4 linked regions of the Caenorhabditis elegans genome follow. The protein of the gene in region 4 purifies or fractionates together with the protein of the main gene of each other region. This does not show direct contact. Each region holds a gene or a part of one and is shown on either strand. Other genes may lie near its edges. The genes, in order: lsm-1, lsm-7, lsm-3 and gut-2.

Region 1 (3,469 bases), on a different chromosome or scaffold from region 4:
TTGAAGCGCGCAGAGCTGCAGAAGAAAGAACCGGTTTCTGGCTATATTTCCCACGTGGCCAACGTGGAACGGATTGTTCATTTCTGTAAGCGCAGGAGCTCAATTCGTTAATAAGTTCCATGTATTGTGTTTGCTTGATCATCAGAATAACTTAATTTTGTGCCATTTTTTGTACAAAATCAATAGTTTTGGTCAAAAATGTATTGTTAAATTTTTGATGTGCGGAAAATCTACTTTTTTAAAAAAAATTTGCTGCACACCCCCGGCTTCCATGATTTTTATACTATTTCGATCAAGCCAGCGAAAGTTCTCCAGAAAAACCGCACTGGATTTTTTAAATTCAAATTTGCTCGGACGTGAACAACGGAATCGCACAATTGCTTGTAAAACTATTTCTTCCAAAAGGCTTTTTAAAAAATAAAACGAATCACTGGAAGACGTTATGTCCAACAATTTTATTTGTAACCAAAACAAATTTATTCCTCGTCGTCGCCTCCGGCTCCATCTCCCTTTCTCAAGGTGCGTCGCTTGACGCGTCCTGGACGGCCACCTCCGTATGGAGATTGAAGAGAGAAGTCGATGTGCTTCTGGGAGTCCAAACGAACGATGAAGGATGGGACATCGACAACTTGTCTGCGGACACTGAAAGAGAAGAATTTGAAGTCGATACTAATCTTGTAATTTGTCATGTCATCTTTCAGTGAAATAAATTTTTTAATGAAATATTCCGGACAATGACTACTGGATCAGTCTTCAAAATAGCGCAGGAATACCTAACTGGTTTAAATCGAAAAACATTTGTAAAAAATTAACTGCCAGAACAATCAATTTTCCGAAAGATGAATTTAATGTTAAAATGATAGTTCTAAAAACTGTTTCATTTTTAAATATATTTTTATACAGAAACAAAAACTAACCGGATGTGGTGCTGCTTGATCAAGATACGGGCGTGGTGGATAGACTTGGCAAGTCCGAGCTTGAAGACCTGGGTTTGGAGCCTGCGCTCAAGGAAGTCCTCGACCTTAAGACCGAGAACGTAATCGAGCTTCATCTTGGTCTCGTCGAGGACACCGATCTTGACAAGACGACGGAGAAGGGCATTTCCTTCGAAAAGACGCTTTGGATCCTTGTCTTCAAGAGTAAGAAGCTCACGAGCCGCCTTACGGACCTTGGCGAGGGTGTACTTGACACGCCAGACCTCACGCTTGTTCTTGAGTCCGAAAGTTCCGATGAGCTTGAGCTCCTGTAAAACAAAATTTTAAAATATAAATTTTACTTTGACATTTCAAACCTGGTCAAGGCGCTCCTTCTCGAACGGACGGCGTGGCGACTTTGTCACTTTAGATTGCACAGTCTTCAGACGTGCCATAGTTGAACCCTGAAAAAAATAAATAGAAAATTGAAGTTTGAGGCAGCAACAACGAAAACAGAGGGAAGCAAATTACAAATTAACGATAAAAATAACAATAATGTAATGAAAATTCATTTTTTTAATTAATTTTCTGACAATTTCATTCAAAAATTCAGCGATTTTCCCAAAAAATAATAGAAAAAAAGAAAAATTGTCAGGTTCGGCCTAAAAGAGTGGGGACGACTACGGTCGGTGGTCGTTGCGGGACCCACCCGCGTAAATCGGTGTGCCTTTACCAGAGAAAAAACACCCTCTCATGCATGCACAGTCTCTCGTTTCTTTTCCATTCGGTTCTTTTTAATATTTTCCTGCTAATTTTAACGAGTCTATAGCAGTTTTGAGCTTATATAAATCTTAAACTCATATAATTTCAATAAAAATTAGTAAAAATAACGTTTACCAACGAAAAACACTATCAGGAACTGGCATTCAATGTTAAATATTCATGATTTAAGCCTTTGCCCGTGTTTTTAACCGAAAATTCCACTTATTGTTTGAAATCTCTTCGAATTCAATGTTTTATTCGTATTTTAATCTAATTTTTTCGTTTTCAGATCATGGACTTGCCCGATCCCTATTTACCCGGAGCAATAAGCTTGTTCGAGCAGCTTGACAAAAAATTATTAGTTGTTCTCCGCGACGGACGGAAATTGATTGGCTTCTTGAGATCGATAGATCAATTTGCCAATCTTATATTGGAAGATGTCGTAGAACGCACATTTGTTGAGAAATACTTCTGTGAAACGGGTCAAGGATTCATGCTTATTCGCGGAGAGAATGTTGAGCTTGCTGGAGAAATCGATGATACCATTGAGACTGGACTTACGCAGGTTTTTAAATGATTTTTCTATAATCTATCTCTTAATAATTTATCCTTTCAGGTGTCTCCCGAAGAATTTCGTCGGCTGGAGGATGAGTATATTGCCAAAAATCCGCCAAAGTTCCTAAAACGACAAGCAGAGAAAACAGAAGAACACGATGCATGAATCTGTATTCTGAAAAAAGAAAACACGTCGCACGGGTTGATTCTACATCTCGATTTTCAATTTGAAATTTCCCTTTCTTGTGCTATGTTTGTTTGAAATTTTATGTAATTCCTTGATATTCTGACGAGAAGTAAACTAATTTGATTCAATTTCAAAAATGTTTTGATTTCTTTTTTTTACTTGAAGGTGTTATGATCTGAATATATATCGGAGGATTGCTTTCAACTTCCAATTCCCATCGAAGCCGTATTTAGAAGATCCAAGGACTCGGGTTGCAACTGTATGCGTAAGTTTATTTGTTTTTGGGCAACGCATCAAAATCTTACAGCTTCTGTTCATCTCAAATAAGTTGCTTGGCGCTCTAATCTGCTCGCAAATGCATGCCTAATGCAGCCAAATCTCCACAGAAAACGAGGAGAAATCGATAGAGCGGTGGTGCTTGCTTCTCTTTCCTCTCGCTTAACCAAAAAAGCTTGCATTTTCGTGCTAAAACGTGTCAGTTATGCATATTTTATACTTACCGTATATTCTCTATTAGTGCTACATCTCCAGTAGTACTGCAGTCTCTAATAGTGCTGCATTCAAAAAGGGTCCGAAAAATAGTGCTGCAGTCTCTATTAGTGCTGCACCACATTTTCTATTGAAAGAGTCACTTGATAGTTTCGATATTTTTGGGTATTTTTTTGTATATTTTTGATGAATTTTTGATAATTTACGAGAGTAATTGAATTATGGGGTCTTTTTGTTACAAAAGTTCGCAATTTTTATGAATTTCTGCTAAAAAAAGAGCTTTTGTGTCTAAAAACTAGTGATCTAAAATTGAAAATAGTTGTTCGAAAATTAATGCTGCAGTCTCCAGTAGTACTGCAGTCTCTAATAGTGCTACATTAAAAAAAGGGCCTGGAAATTAGTGTTGCATGCAGCACTAATAGAGAATAGACGGTAATCGTTCCTCCCCCGCTCCCCCGAACAGTCAAATATTCTATCGAAACATTTCAGTTGCGTTCGCTCTCCACGCACTTATCCGCTCTTCTCATCGTCTGAGTCTCTCCACTCTTCATTCAACCCGTCA
Region 2 (3,318 bases), on a different chromosome or scaffold from region 4:
TCAAGATAACAACCAAAACTGAACGTACGCCAATCTTTAAATAGAAATATGAATTTTACGAGTGGAAAAGAGAAATCCAGAACTGAGGAACAACTTTTTTATTTTCAAATTTTCGAAAGAAAACCTTTTTAACCTATTCGATTTCAGATGAGCGTCAGAAAGATGTGGAAGAAATCCGCAGCCAACAACCGAACAAGGTTCCGGTAATTATCGAAAGATTTGATGGAGAACGCAGTTTACCACTTATGGATCGCTGCAAATTCCTAGTACCCGAGCATATAACCGTTGCCGAGCTCATGTCAATTGTTAGACGACGGTGAGCTATTCAACTGAGTTGTTTTTTCAAAATCATCCGTTTGCTTTTCAGCCTCCAACTTCATCCACAACAAGCATTCTTCCTGCTCGTCAATGAACGCTCAATGGTGTCAAATTCTATGAGCATGTCCAATTTGTACAGTCAAGAGCGTGATCCAGATGGCTTTGTGTATATGGTTTACACGTCTCAACCAGCATTTGGATAACACATCAAGAGCCGTTTTCCATCACAATTCTAATCAATTTTTAAATTTCCACCAACACCACTGATTGCCCAATGCAATCCTCACTGTAAAATGTTGTATTTTTAAATGTAAATACCTGAAAACCCATCATACTCAGGCGCCAACCATTTTTCTAGTTGCCTTTGCTAATTTCGCCCCTCGCAATTCCCCACCTCAAAACTTCCAGCTGAAATTTGTTTTACAAACGAAAAAAAAGAAACCCAAATTCGCTTACGTTTTCGTGTAGTCTTTATGTGTTCCCTCATAACTCTTTCTCCGCATTTTCCAGCCCGTTTCTTGAATTTCTTCATGTCTTCTTTTCACAACTGATCCTCTTTCAACAAAATTTAAACCGTTTACGATTCTGTGTACTTGGCTAGTCTCTAAAGCCCATAGGGACTATTTTCCTTACTGCCCTGAACATTGAAATTTACCGCTATGGACTTTCTGACTGCCTAGACGGATTCAATTCAAAATTATTACATCTTGTTCCATCGTTACTTTTCCAAATTCAATGTATCAAATGTTTTGTATGTAATAACAACTTTTTCGTCGTTTTTATCTGGAGAATGTTCATTCACAAGGAGATCACATACATATATAATAATAATAAGAGATGATGATGATATCAACGATTATTCTTCTTCCTGGGTTGCGAATGGATTGGCGATTTGCTCGAGTCCATCTGCTGGGCTAACTACTGTAATTGCTGTTCCGCGAGCCACAATAAGACCCAGTTGTCTTAAGATAAAAGATAAGATAAAATCGAAAATCTAGATTTAATTTGAAATCCAAGCTTTAAATCGATTTTTGGAAATCTATCAATTACCTTGTCTCATCACCGACGACCGAAGGATTTTGTGGATCACGGAGATACTCGCGGCAGTCATCAAGAACCATATTGAGCAACTGATCGAATCCTCGAAGCACGCCACTTGCTGAAATTTATACATTTTTATGGAGTGAAGTACAGCTTGTGTATGTTGGACGCTTTCATATTGTTTAAATAGTTTAATGACGGAATCTTATTGCTAGTGCACATCATTGTGCAAAAAAAAAACCAACCTTCACGTCCTCCTTGGAACTTGACGCGAATCTCTTTGTCGAGAAATCTGGTGAGATCAACGACAGACTCCTTCTTTCGTTTTCCTTCGTCTTTCTAAAATAATACAACAATTATAAATAACTTATTCATTGTATTTTTAAAACATACCGACATTTCTCTGTGTTGAGTTGTGGTGAGTCTGAAATAATTCCGAAATTTTGAATGAAATTATCGATTACGAATGAAATAAATTAAGCTGACAAAATCTTATTGATTTAGAATTTTTTTAAACGGTATTTTTAATTGATAAATTATGATTTAAAATTACAAACGTATATAGAGAAGAAAATAAAATAAAGAAAAGAAAAAATAAATTCGAAAAATATTAGCTCAACAACGGTGCTGACGCACTTTTCGAACACACAGCGCACCGGAAACGCGCCAGCGATCCCAGAGTGTTTGCAATTTTCGGCTCCTTTCTTTTTCCTCTGTTCCTCAATTTATTTCGCAACAGTTTATCGATTTTGAACTATTTTTTCCAGGTAGTTCGATATTGATTCGTTTGGAAAATTGGTGACCGAACGCAATCTTCCAGATGTCGTTCGAAATAGGAACTCGGGTAAAAAGTAAGCCAAATAAGTTGAATTATCGTTTCATATTTATTTTCTTCAGCAAGCTCGGGAAATGGAAGAGTCGTGTTTTGCGGACAAACGCAATTCGCAGAAGGTGATTGGGTTGGAGTGATTCTTGATACGGCGACCGGAAAAAACAACGGAACTGTTCAAAATGTTCAATATTTCGAATGCGAACCGAATTTTGGGGTTTTCGTGAAATCGAGCGCTGTTGAGTTGGAGGATGCATCAAAGAGATCAGGACTGAAAGCTCCAGCAGCTTCTGCTATTCGAAAAGATTCTAGTGTAATGAGCAGATCCGCAGGTTCTAAGGCTTCACCAGGAGTAAGAAATTTTAATTATATTTTCAACGTCTCACTTATATAAATTTAGTCAAGCCCTGGAATGTCACCTGCTGCTTCGTCCGAAAAATTGACAGGTCGTCAAACAGGAATGGGCCCACGCTCAATGTCGAAGCTGGCAGATCCCAATGAGGTAATTTTTGAAATTTAAACACTTGGGAAATCCTTTTATAGAAAAAGCGGTCTACAACTCCGCAAAAGGCGAGATCTCCAGCTCCGCCAATGACGAAAAAGAACTCCGAGTCAACGGTAATCTATGCTGATAGTAAATGACCCTTTTTCGTTTACTGTTTCTGAATTGGCAAGATTATGTCTGCTTTCCTCGGTTGTCAAATTATCAGCTTGATTATGTTCTTCCCCATTATTATCATTTGTCCTGCTTCATGTGATTTTAATCGTTGTTTCAGTCGAGAATGGTTCGTGAATTCTCCAACTTATCGCAATCTTCTGTCGCTTCGAGTCGTGCTAGTGCATCAGCTTCTAAACCTAGGGTTTGTATAATGCTCAAATTATTAAATCTTGACCTTTGCGTGGGAATGTATGATTGGTGTATGGCTGGTGGAACATGTTGCTTGCTCATAGCTCAAACACGTAATTTTTACTTGTGTTAGAAAATTCACAAGTCGGTCTGGAATATATTCTAATTTCATTACAGATAAATTGACAAATAATTTATTTTAAAGAACTACATAACTAACAACATGTACAACCAACATTCATTTAATCATAATCATTCTACTACCGCTTGTTTCAGATAACCA
Region 3 (4,351 bases), on a different chromosome or scaffold from region 4:
GCATATGCTAGTTTTTTCGATTTATTCACTTTTAAAGCCAAAATTTAGTCATTTTTACATGCCTATTAGCTGAAAAAGTGCCTAAAAAGGCCAAAAAATTCACCAAAAAATTTCAAATACTACTCTTTTTTTGTTAAATTTCAAAATTTAAATAAAATAAAATTTCATTTTTTTCGATTTTTGAAGCCAAAAACTATTTTTGCTTTAAAAATCGAAAAAAATTCCAATAAATCAAATTTTGAAATTTAAAAAAAAATACTAGGATTTTTTCGATTTTTGAAGCCAAAAAATCAAAAAAAATTCTATTTATAAGTTTTTCTTCCAAATTTTAATCAAAATAATTTCAGACTGGCAAACCGGCTGTGATAGCTCTTCTGAAAAAGATGTACAACTACAAAACAGTTGTGATGGTTGGTGACGGAGCAACCGATGTTGAAGCTTCACCCCCAGCTGATGCATTCATTGGATTCGGTGGAAATGTCATTAGAGAAGGTGTAAAGGCTCGTGCCAAATGGTACGTCACCGATTTCGATGTTCTTCGGAAAGATCTCGATCATGATGAGTCTGATATTGACGACGAGTAGATAATTCATGTATCTGTACATATCGTTTTTCTTTTTTTTTCATATATTTTCCACACGTTCTCAGTTGGCTTTACTGTGCGGTTTTGAGCATTTTGAGCATCATTTTCTAATCACCTACTAGCGTATTTCTATTTTTTTTTTCTCTCACTGTGAATTTTTCCCTTCATGTACCAGCAAACTTTTGTCTTGTTGTGCCATAAATCTTCTACCACATGATATAGAGTTCCGAAAAATATTCATAAACAAAAATAACGTATGTGTGTGTTTAGATTTAGAAGATCACAAGATGAGAAAAATTTAAAATTGCGAGAAAATGATGACGATGAATTAGGATGCACGAATCGGTGGAGACACGAGAATGACAGAATCACCACGAACGAAAAGCATTGGAACAACACGTTTTGTTTGTTTGTAGATCTCTTCGAATGTGTCTTCGTCGACTTCACGGGTGGTGATTGTCTCTTCAACCTGAAAATATTTTTTTTTAATTTGATGATTATTGAACTACGATCAGAATTTTGTGAAAACAGGTTCTAAATAATGACCTCATAATTAGTTAAATGCGATATTTTGCGCAATAAATACGGTCTTAAAGCGAACTTAAAGCGTACCGAAATCTGAAAAATATATTTAAACGACTCCAAATTTTCTCCTGATTCCGAATATCTAATTGGAAAATTTCAAAAAAAAGTCCCTGATTTTATATTTCAACTTAAAATCGCGATTTTCATTTGCGTCCCCATGAGATTTTTCAAACGGCGAATTTTCGCGCCAGCCATGTGTCGATTTATGAGATTTGTGTAGATTTACGAGATTTTCAATCTTTATCGGATGTAGATTTCCTTTTTTCAACGAGTTTCCTTCATTTTTGTCGGTTTTTTCTAAAGTTTTTTTTTGAAAATGTGTTTTTTTAGGTCAATTAAACATTATATTATTAAAAAACTAACAACATTTTTTGGCGAAAACCGACGAAAATGATGAAAACTCGTTGAAAAACCGAAATCAGCATCTGATAAAGATTGAAAATCTCGTAAATATACCCAAATCTCGTAAATCGACACATGGCGTCTCTGGCGCAAAAATTCGGCGTTTCAAAAATCTCATGGGTGTACAAGCGATTTCAAGCTGAAATAATAAATCAGAGAACATTTTTTTGAATTTTTTCATTTCGATATTCGGAATCAGGGAAAAATTTGAAGTCACTTAAAAATATTTCCACAGATTTCGGTACCTTTTTCTTGAAGTTTTTCTTGGAAAACAAGGTTTTTTTCGAATTAAAACTGTATTGTTTTTCTATTTTATTTATATAGTTTCAATCTATTTTCTAGGGGATTACGGATAATCTGGAGTTTTTTTTTGGAAAAATTGTTTTTTTTCCTATTTTTCGGCTTTAAAATTGAAAATTTAAAGCTTTCTCCAAAGAATTATGGCCTTTTTTGTAGTTTTTTTTTTTGGAAAAAGTTGTGTTTTTTTAAGCTAAACTGTATTTTTTTCGATTTTCTTCTTTTTAAAATTTCAAAGAATTTTCTCAAATCCATTTCGAGGAGAGGTAGAACCTATAATTAGAAATTGTCTAGGATTTCGCATTTTTCTTTGACTAAGATACTTTCACAAAGTTTCAGTTTTTAAACAGTTTTACAATTTTTTAAAACTTTTCAACAACGACAAACCTCCGATAAAACCATGTTCAAATGTTGATCGAAAGCTCTGAGACGACCGCGCAACTGAAAAATCGAGATTTGTAACACAAAAAAAATCCCAAAATAAAATAATTTCCAACCTCTCTGTCGTTTCTCATTTTGACATAAACTCTCTCATCCAAACTGAGACGGAGCAAATCGAGTGGCTCTTCGACTGTAGCAGACAGTGTCACTTCTTTCTTTTCGGTGGCCATCTGGAAAAAAATTTGAAAAACTAAAAGTTTGAAAATAATAAAAAGAAAGAAAATAGTGAATTGAGAAATCAACATTTGAATCATCAGAAAATTAATTTTTCGAGCATAATACACGGACACACTTTTTCATTCCAGCAGTATAATTTCGCGTAAAAAATTCAAATTACAGAAAAATGAAAAATGAAAAATCAATAAATTATTTTTGACACATTCCGGAAAGCTCAATTCACTTTCCAGCCTCCACAGCAGCAGCAGCAACATCAGGAAGCACATCGAGCCGTTCAGGGCTCACATAGTTCATTTCAGTGACTGGATCCACGAAACCGACTGGTCCTTGCTCACATTCACCACACACCAGATACTGAAAATTGGGATTTTAAAGTTTTAGATTTCAAAAAAAGTTGAAACCCACTCGTTTGCCTTCAGAAGATCTTGTAAATCCAACATTTTCAAAAGCGAACATATCCTTGACTCCGAAAAATCCACGGATCGGCTCTGTCTGAGTATGATCGATTCCTTTCTTTTGACGTGGCAATGGAAGATCACGTTCTTCGTCGAGATATTCAGTAGTCATATTCTTCAGAATAACAACAGTTTGACAGATTTTACAAATGTATGTGCTCTCATTTGTCTCCACTTTCACTACGCTGCTTCTGCTCTCCGTCGGGCTTTTTGAGGGCTGCTGAAATAATTAATCAATTAAAAAATCATTTTTCTTGCTTAAAACATATTAATATCTTCTTGAAAATAATTCACCATCAAGGCTGAAGGCTGCGAGTTCGTCGAGGAGCTCATCTTTCTTCTCAATCTGCTTGTAGAGCGCGGCGATTTTCCGTCTTTCCTTGTACTCTTCGACGCCGATGTCGGGAATCGATTTCAGAGCGTCTTTGAAGCTTGCGATGTCGGCCTCGACGTTTCGAAGACGAACAGTAAGCTCAGAACCGCTTCCTTTCTCCACGCTGAAATAATTAACCTCGTTTCTTTTTAATAACTACAAATTCCGAACTTACGAGTTCACAAGATGGAATAAATCTGCGTATAATTTGTTCAAATAGCTTTCAGCACTTGGCTTGATCACTTCTTTGCTCATGAACAAACTCTGAAAATAGTCGAATACTGGAAAATTGATTTGAAAATAATTCCAATAAAGAATTAAGTTGAAATTGGCTTGCGTTCGATGGAGCGCGTTTGCTTCTTGCAAGCCTAGCACACAAGATTTGCAACAACGCCGCACACTTGTTGCAGAGTACGTTGCAGAGTATTTTTCCTTTTTTTCTGCTTTATGTCTCGATTTAAGATGATTTCCCCGATATTTTTGTTCTAATTTTTACTAAATTGTATAGAATTATCATAATTTTCTCTATTTTCCCATTTTAGAAAATGCTCAAATGCTCACACGCCATTAGGAGAATATCACCGCGAAATCTTTGCACGGCGAGTACCTCCGCGGAAATCGCCAATGTAAGTAAAACTTGCGTTGTTATCAATTGGCAAACAATTAATTTCTGAAATTTAGGCTGTTCCATTAATTTCCAACAATCGTTCATATGTGTTTGATACTCCACAAGTATCAGTTCCAACGTTTGAGTTGAGTCGTCGAGTTGGAAATCTCTTCGCGCAGTCCTTCTACACATTATGTTACGAGAAAAGCTTCACTGTTGAGAGCTTGGTGCACGGAGCCAATAAAGGCATTCACAGTCTTTCTCATTTTCTAGCTGATGAAAAATGGGATCAAATGGAGAATTTGGCGGTGAAAGATGCTGTTGAGAATATGCGAGAAGCCAGAAAAGGGCTTTCGAAGCAATTAGAAAATGCTCTTCGTTTCTCTCCAGACGACATTTTGCTCTCATTTCTCCATTCGACTGTCATCTCC
Region 4 (3,985 bases):
GACTTATATTGCAAACAAGCAAGATGCTAATAAGAGTCAGTTGGGATTTTTTTTCAGAATTTTTCCTACGTTTTTTTTGCTAATTTTCAGGGGCTCGAACTGAAAGAGAGAAAGCTGAACTTCCATTCCTTCAAAATTCACATAACGATGTGTGGGTACCACGAGAAGTTGCTGAACAAGAACGAGAAGTAATGACAGTTCGAATGAATCGCCGTCAAACAAATAGCGTCTGGAAATGGATCAAAACAAAGACTGAATGGAATGACAAGTCGAAAAGAGCAGATCTTATATCTCGAGTCATGTTCCCTGTACTATTTCTCACGTTTAACATCTCCTATTGGACTCATTATGGACAATACGGTGTGGCCATCAGTACGTAATATTCTGGAATTATTTAGCAATCAAATACTTTCTACTATCATACCGGTGCCCTCAATGGAGAAAACAAAATGAACACGCCTGCAATAAACACCATTTGAAACTGTGAATAAAACCTGTTTGTTACGAATTTTTTATAAAAATAAATATTTTTTTAAATGAGATGATATCAAACTTGACAAAAAATGAGATGAACTTTGAGGAATGAACACGTGGATTTACTGTTTTGCCTTTGAATCGAGAAGCTCCTTCCGGCAGGAGTCAGCCAAGAGTTGTGTGTCGACTTGATCGGATGGGAGTTGCACGTACCTTTAAAGAATCATTTTGAAATATTTATGAAAAATGATAACTAATTGTACCTGACGACGGATCCGCGGATGAAGCAGTTTTTGACAGAGACCATATGTGGAAATCGTTCTGGATCGGAGACGGTGATATCGGTCAACTTCATGTTGAGATACTGATCGACCGAGTGCAGAGTTCCGCAGATACTGAAAAATTATTAGAATTTGCATTTGAGAGATTAGAATAAGATAATTATTTTTTAAATATTAATTTTGTGAGATTTAAACTTCAAAACTTATAAAAATTAGCAGAACTAATCTTAAATGGAATTTCATAATTTAAATTCAAACCCAGGAATGGCACTTGCGTTTAAAGAGATTTCGAGAAATTCGGAATTTTCATTATGTGGAAGTGTATCGTTGAAAATGATTTCCGTCTGGCTAATACATATTTTCGGGGAGTTTCGAATTCTTTCTAGACATTCAGAATATTGAACCCAAGAAGTTTTAAGCATTTTTTGTGAACCAATTTTTAAGAAATGTCTTGAAATTGAAGTTTTACATGGGTTCCAGTTATTTTCTCGATTTTCTGTAAATTGTATATACTGATTTAACAAACCGCACCTCAAATCATTTTTGAGCTCCACGACAACGTCCTTTCCTACGAGTGATTTGAAGAATGAGAAGAACAGCTGAAATAGTAATATTTCGTGAGTTACAACAAAAATTCGGGACTTTCTACATACCTAAACCATTAATTTAAATTACATTTAAGCGGAACAGCCTCATATCCGAGACAACCAACAGTTTTATAACACATTTAATAATTTGAGTATGTACTTTTTCAATTTATATCACAAAATTAAAAGGAAAACTAACCATTTTATGTTAAATCGTCGAAGAATTGCAAAGATTCAGAAAATTAATGAAAAAATAATATTCAAAACTAATTATAAACAAGGCGCACTGCGTCAAAACGGAGCATCGTTGCCAGACGAGAGAGAAGAGACGAAAAGAAATCAGAGGGAATCCGGTTATTTATTTGAGTGACCAACAGAGAATTCCACTTGCCAGTTTGTTTTGCGCTATGTTTGAATCATCTTTCGAGACAGAAAGAGAAGAAAATGCGCCGGTTTTGTTGTCAAATCAATGCTTTTCGCCTTCCCTCTTCGTTTATATCGATCTGATGATATATCTCAATTTGTTGTAATCTATTTCGTGTATCACATTTAAATCTCCGTTCGTTACATTCGAATTATCGCATCGATGAACTGTTGTTTTCCAGAACACATGCTTCGAAGGTTGAAAGAACAAGTTTCGCAAGTCGCGAATGATGTAAGTTTTCCGTTTTGTAAAAAAATTAGTTTTTTCCATTTTGATAATTTATTTAGATTGACGGCCGACTAAACAACAGTCGACCAAGTATTTCAAGTCAAGGTTCACAGTCGCAATCACAAAAATCAGAAAATGATCAGGAGATCGAAGGGTTCTTGTGCCCAATGTGTATGGTAGAGCTCGGTGGTCCTGATGAACTTACTGTTCATTTTGAAAAAGAACATTCTGACGTAAGTTGATTAATCTCTGATTCAATAGAATTTTTTGATAGTTTCAGACATCAGCCAACAGAAATCATCCCGATTACACTCCACCTCAGCAAGCTCCACTCGCCTTTGCTACAAAAGATCAAGAAATTGAAGAGCTTCGAATAAGAGTTAACGAAGAGAAACGTTTTGCTGAACGGATAAAAGAAGAACTTGATAATATTAAATCGGTAATGGCAATAGCTTCAGAAGTCACAGAAGATGAGATTCCATACATGGCACAGCAGATTCAAGTTCTCACAGCCGACAAAGGAATGGTTACTCGGCAATTTCTGGAACTTGAGAAAGAGAGCGGCCAGCAGTCCCGAGAATTGCAACAAGTTAAACAAGAACGTGGAGATTTGATGGCCAAATTGAAACAGATGAGCGTCACAATGCGCGAAATTACGGATGAATCTGAATCGGGCAAAGTTGAAATGGAGGATCTGAAAAGAGAGCTGAAAGTTGTGAAATCAGATGTTGTTCGGTACGAAATCGAAGTTTCTCGGCTTGAAAAGATGCTCGATCAGAGGCCTTCTGAAGATGATGTGAATGTTTTGCGTACTGAGCTAGTTAATGCTCAAAAACTAATGGATGCTATTTCTCAGGAGAAAGATATCGAAATCAAGGAACACCTAAATTCGATTCGTAATTTAAGCATGGAACGTGAAAAACAGCACATCGTAAATGAGAACTTGGAAAAGAAAATTGGCGAAGGAGAAGAAACTGTGAAGCAGTTGCAAATATCGTATGATGCTCAATCCGAAGAATTGAAACAACGAAATGAACGGGTTGTTCAATTAGAAGCCAGAATCGAAGAGAACGTGTTCGAATTAAGTGAAAACAAGCAAAACGTTAAAAGGCTCGAAGATAAAGTACAAGAATCACAAGATGCTCTTCAAATGTTATCTAATATCAATGGATCTAATGAAGAACAAATGATAAGCCTGAATTCAAAATTCGAGCGGGTTAGTTAATTTCTTTGTTTATTTTATCGTATTAGGCAAAGCTGTAACCTGAAACTCAATTTCAATTTGCCGGTTTTATAAACAATGTTTGCAGAATACAGCGGAGAGGAAACGAATTGAGGCGGTTTTCGAGGAAAAAGTAACAGTGCAAGGGGAAAGACTAAAAACGGTGAGAAAGTTATGTAAAATTCTATATCCCGGTCTCGACACGACTTTTTTGTTAAATGGAAAAGGATGTGCGCCTTTAAAGAGTACTGTAATTTTAAACTCGCTACTGCGGAAGTGTGTTTTTTTTTGAAACGGGAGTAGTAACGAGAGTTTGGCATTACAGTATTTTCGAAAATTTGATCGTGGCGAGACTGAATACCGTATTTTTTGCTCAAAAATTGTAAATTTCATATCTGAGTAGCATTTCTAGTGAATGAAAATTGTACTCTTTAAAAGAAACCCAAAGAAAAAATAGGAAAAACTCCAGCTGAATTTAGATGATTTTTCAGCTTGAAATGGCAAATCTTGACCTCACTAACGAGCTCGCCTCAATGGGATCTCTTCTCGATAAGGAACGAAGTCTTCTGGAAGAAAAGAACAAAGAAATTTCGGAACGAGACTCGTCCATCAATGATTTGAAAGAAAAGTTGGCAGAAAGTGAGAAAAAAGCAACAAAGTACAAAAACGAGTTGAAAGAACACGCTGATCTTGTCGAGAATCTTACTCTCCAACTCAACAAACTTCAAGAAAACTCGAAAGATTTAATGGAGAAAATCTCAGCCGGAGA

Evidence for each region.
Region 1: the proteins of gut-2 (region 4) and lsm-1 fractionate together in Caenorhabditis elegans (co-fractionation; one large-scale study listed by BioGRID). This does not show direct contact.
Region 2: the proteins of gut-2 (region 4) and lsm-7 fractionate together in Caenorhabditis elegans (co-fractionation; one large-scale study listed by BioGRID). This does not show direct contact.
Region 3: the proteins of gut-2 (region 4) and lsm-3 fractionate together in Caenorhabditis elegans (co-fractionation; one large-scale study listed by BioGRID). This does not show direct contact.

Annotation. Positions count from the first base shown.
Region 1 is NC_003280.10:11,124,985-11,128,453, forward strand, and holds lsm-1 (U6 snRNA-associated Sm-like protein LSm1), read left to right. Parts: upstream 1-1,965; 5' UTR 1,966-1,968; coding exon 1,969-2,241; intron 2,242-2,292; coding exon 2,293-2,397; 3' UTR 2,398-2,544; downstream 2,545-3,469. Other genes in the region: rps-9 (Small ribosomal subunit protein uS4), read right to left, coding at 477-642, 918-1,243, 1,292-1,369; F40F8.1 (UMP-CMP kinase), read left to right, coding at 2,680-2,683, 3,397-3,469.
Region 2 is NC_003282.8:10,931,967-10,935,284, reverse strand, and holds lsm-7 (U6 snRNA-associated Sm-like protein LSm7), read right to left. Parts: upstream 1,784-3,318; 5' UTR 1,759-1,783; coding exon 1,753-1,758; intron 1,699-1,752; coding exon 1,605-1,698; intron 1,478-1,604; coding exon 1,369-1,477; intron 1,281-1,368; coding exon 1,175-1,280; 3' UTR 1,096-1,174; downstream 1-1,095. Other genes in the region: Protein lgg-2, read left to right, coding at 148-316, 368-521; dnc-1 (Dynactin subunit 1), read left to right, coding at 2,180-2,210, 2,257-2,540, 2,589-2,690, 2,732-2,806, 2,965-3,048.
Region 3 is NC_003282.8:13,385,596-13,389,946, reverse strand, and holds lsm-3 (U6 snRNA-associated Sm-like protein LSm3), read right to left. Parts: upstream 2,479-4,351; coding exon 2,365-2,478; intron 2,309-2,364; coding exon 2,255-2,308; intron 1,053-2,254; coding exon 912-1,052; 3' UTR 804-911; downstream 1-803. Other genes in the region: Y62E10A.13 (Phosphoserine phosphatase), read left to right, coding at 348-584; mdt-9 (Guanine nucleotide exchange factor MSS4), read right to left, coding at 2,705-2,839, 2,891-3,160, 3,235-3,273; Y62E10A.23 (Mediator complex subunit 9), read right to left, coding at 3,102-3,160, 3,235-3,437, 3,489-3,568; Y62E10A.20 (Tim44-like domain-containing protein), read left to right, coding at 3,859-3,939, 3,995-4,351.
Region 4 is NC_003283.11:13,495,335-13,499,319, reverse strand, and holds gut-2 (U6 snRNA-associated Sm-like protein LSm2), read right to left. Parts: upstream 1,580-3,985; 5' UTR 1,545-1,579; coding exon 1,542-1,544; intron 1,355-1,541; coding exon 1,287-1,354; intron 870-1,286; coding exon 738-869; intron 688-737; coding exon 597-687; 3' UTR 501-596; downstream 1-500. Other genes in the region: avr-15 (Ig-like domain-containing protein), read left to right, coding at 1-35, 91-380; eea-1 (FYVE-type domain-containing protein), read left to right, coding at 1,953-1,997, 2,054-2,227, 2,269-3,210, 3,305-3,379, 3,708-3,985.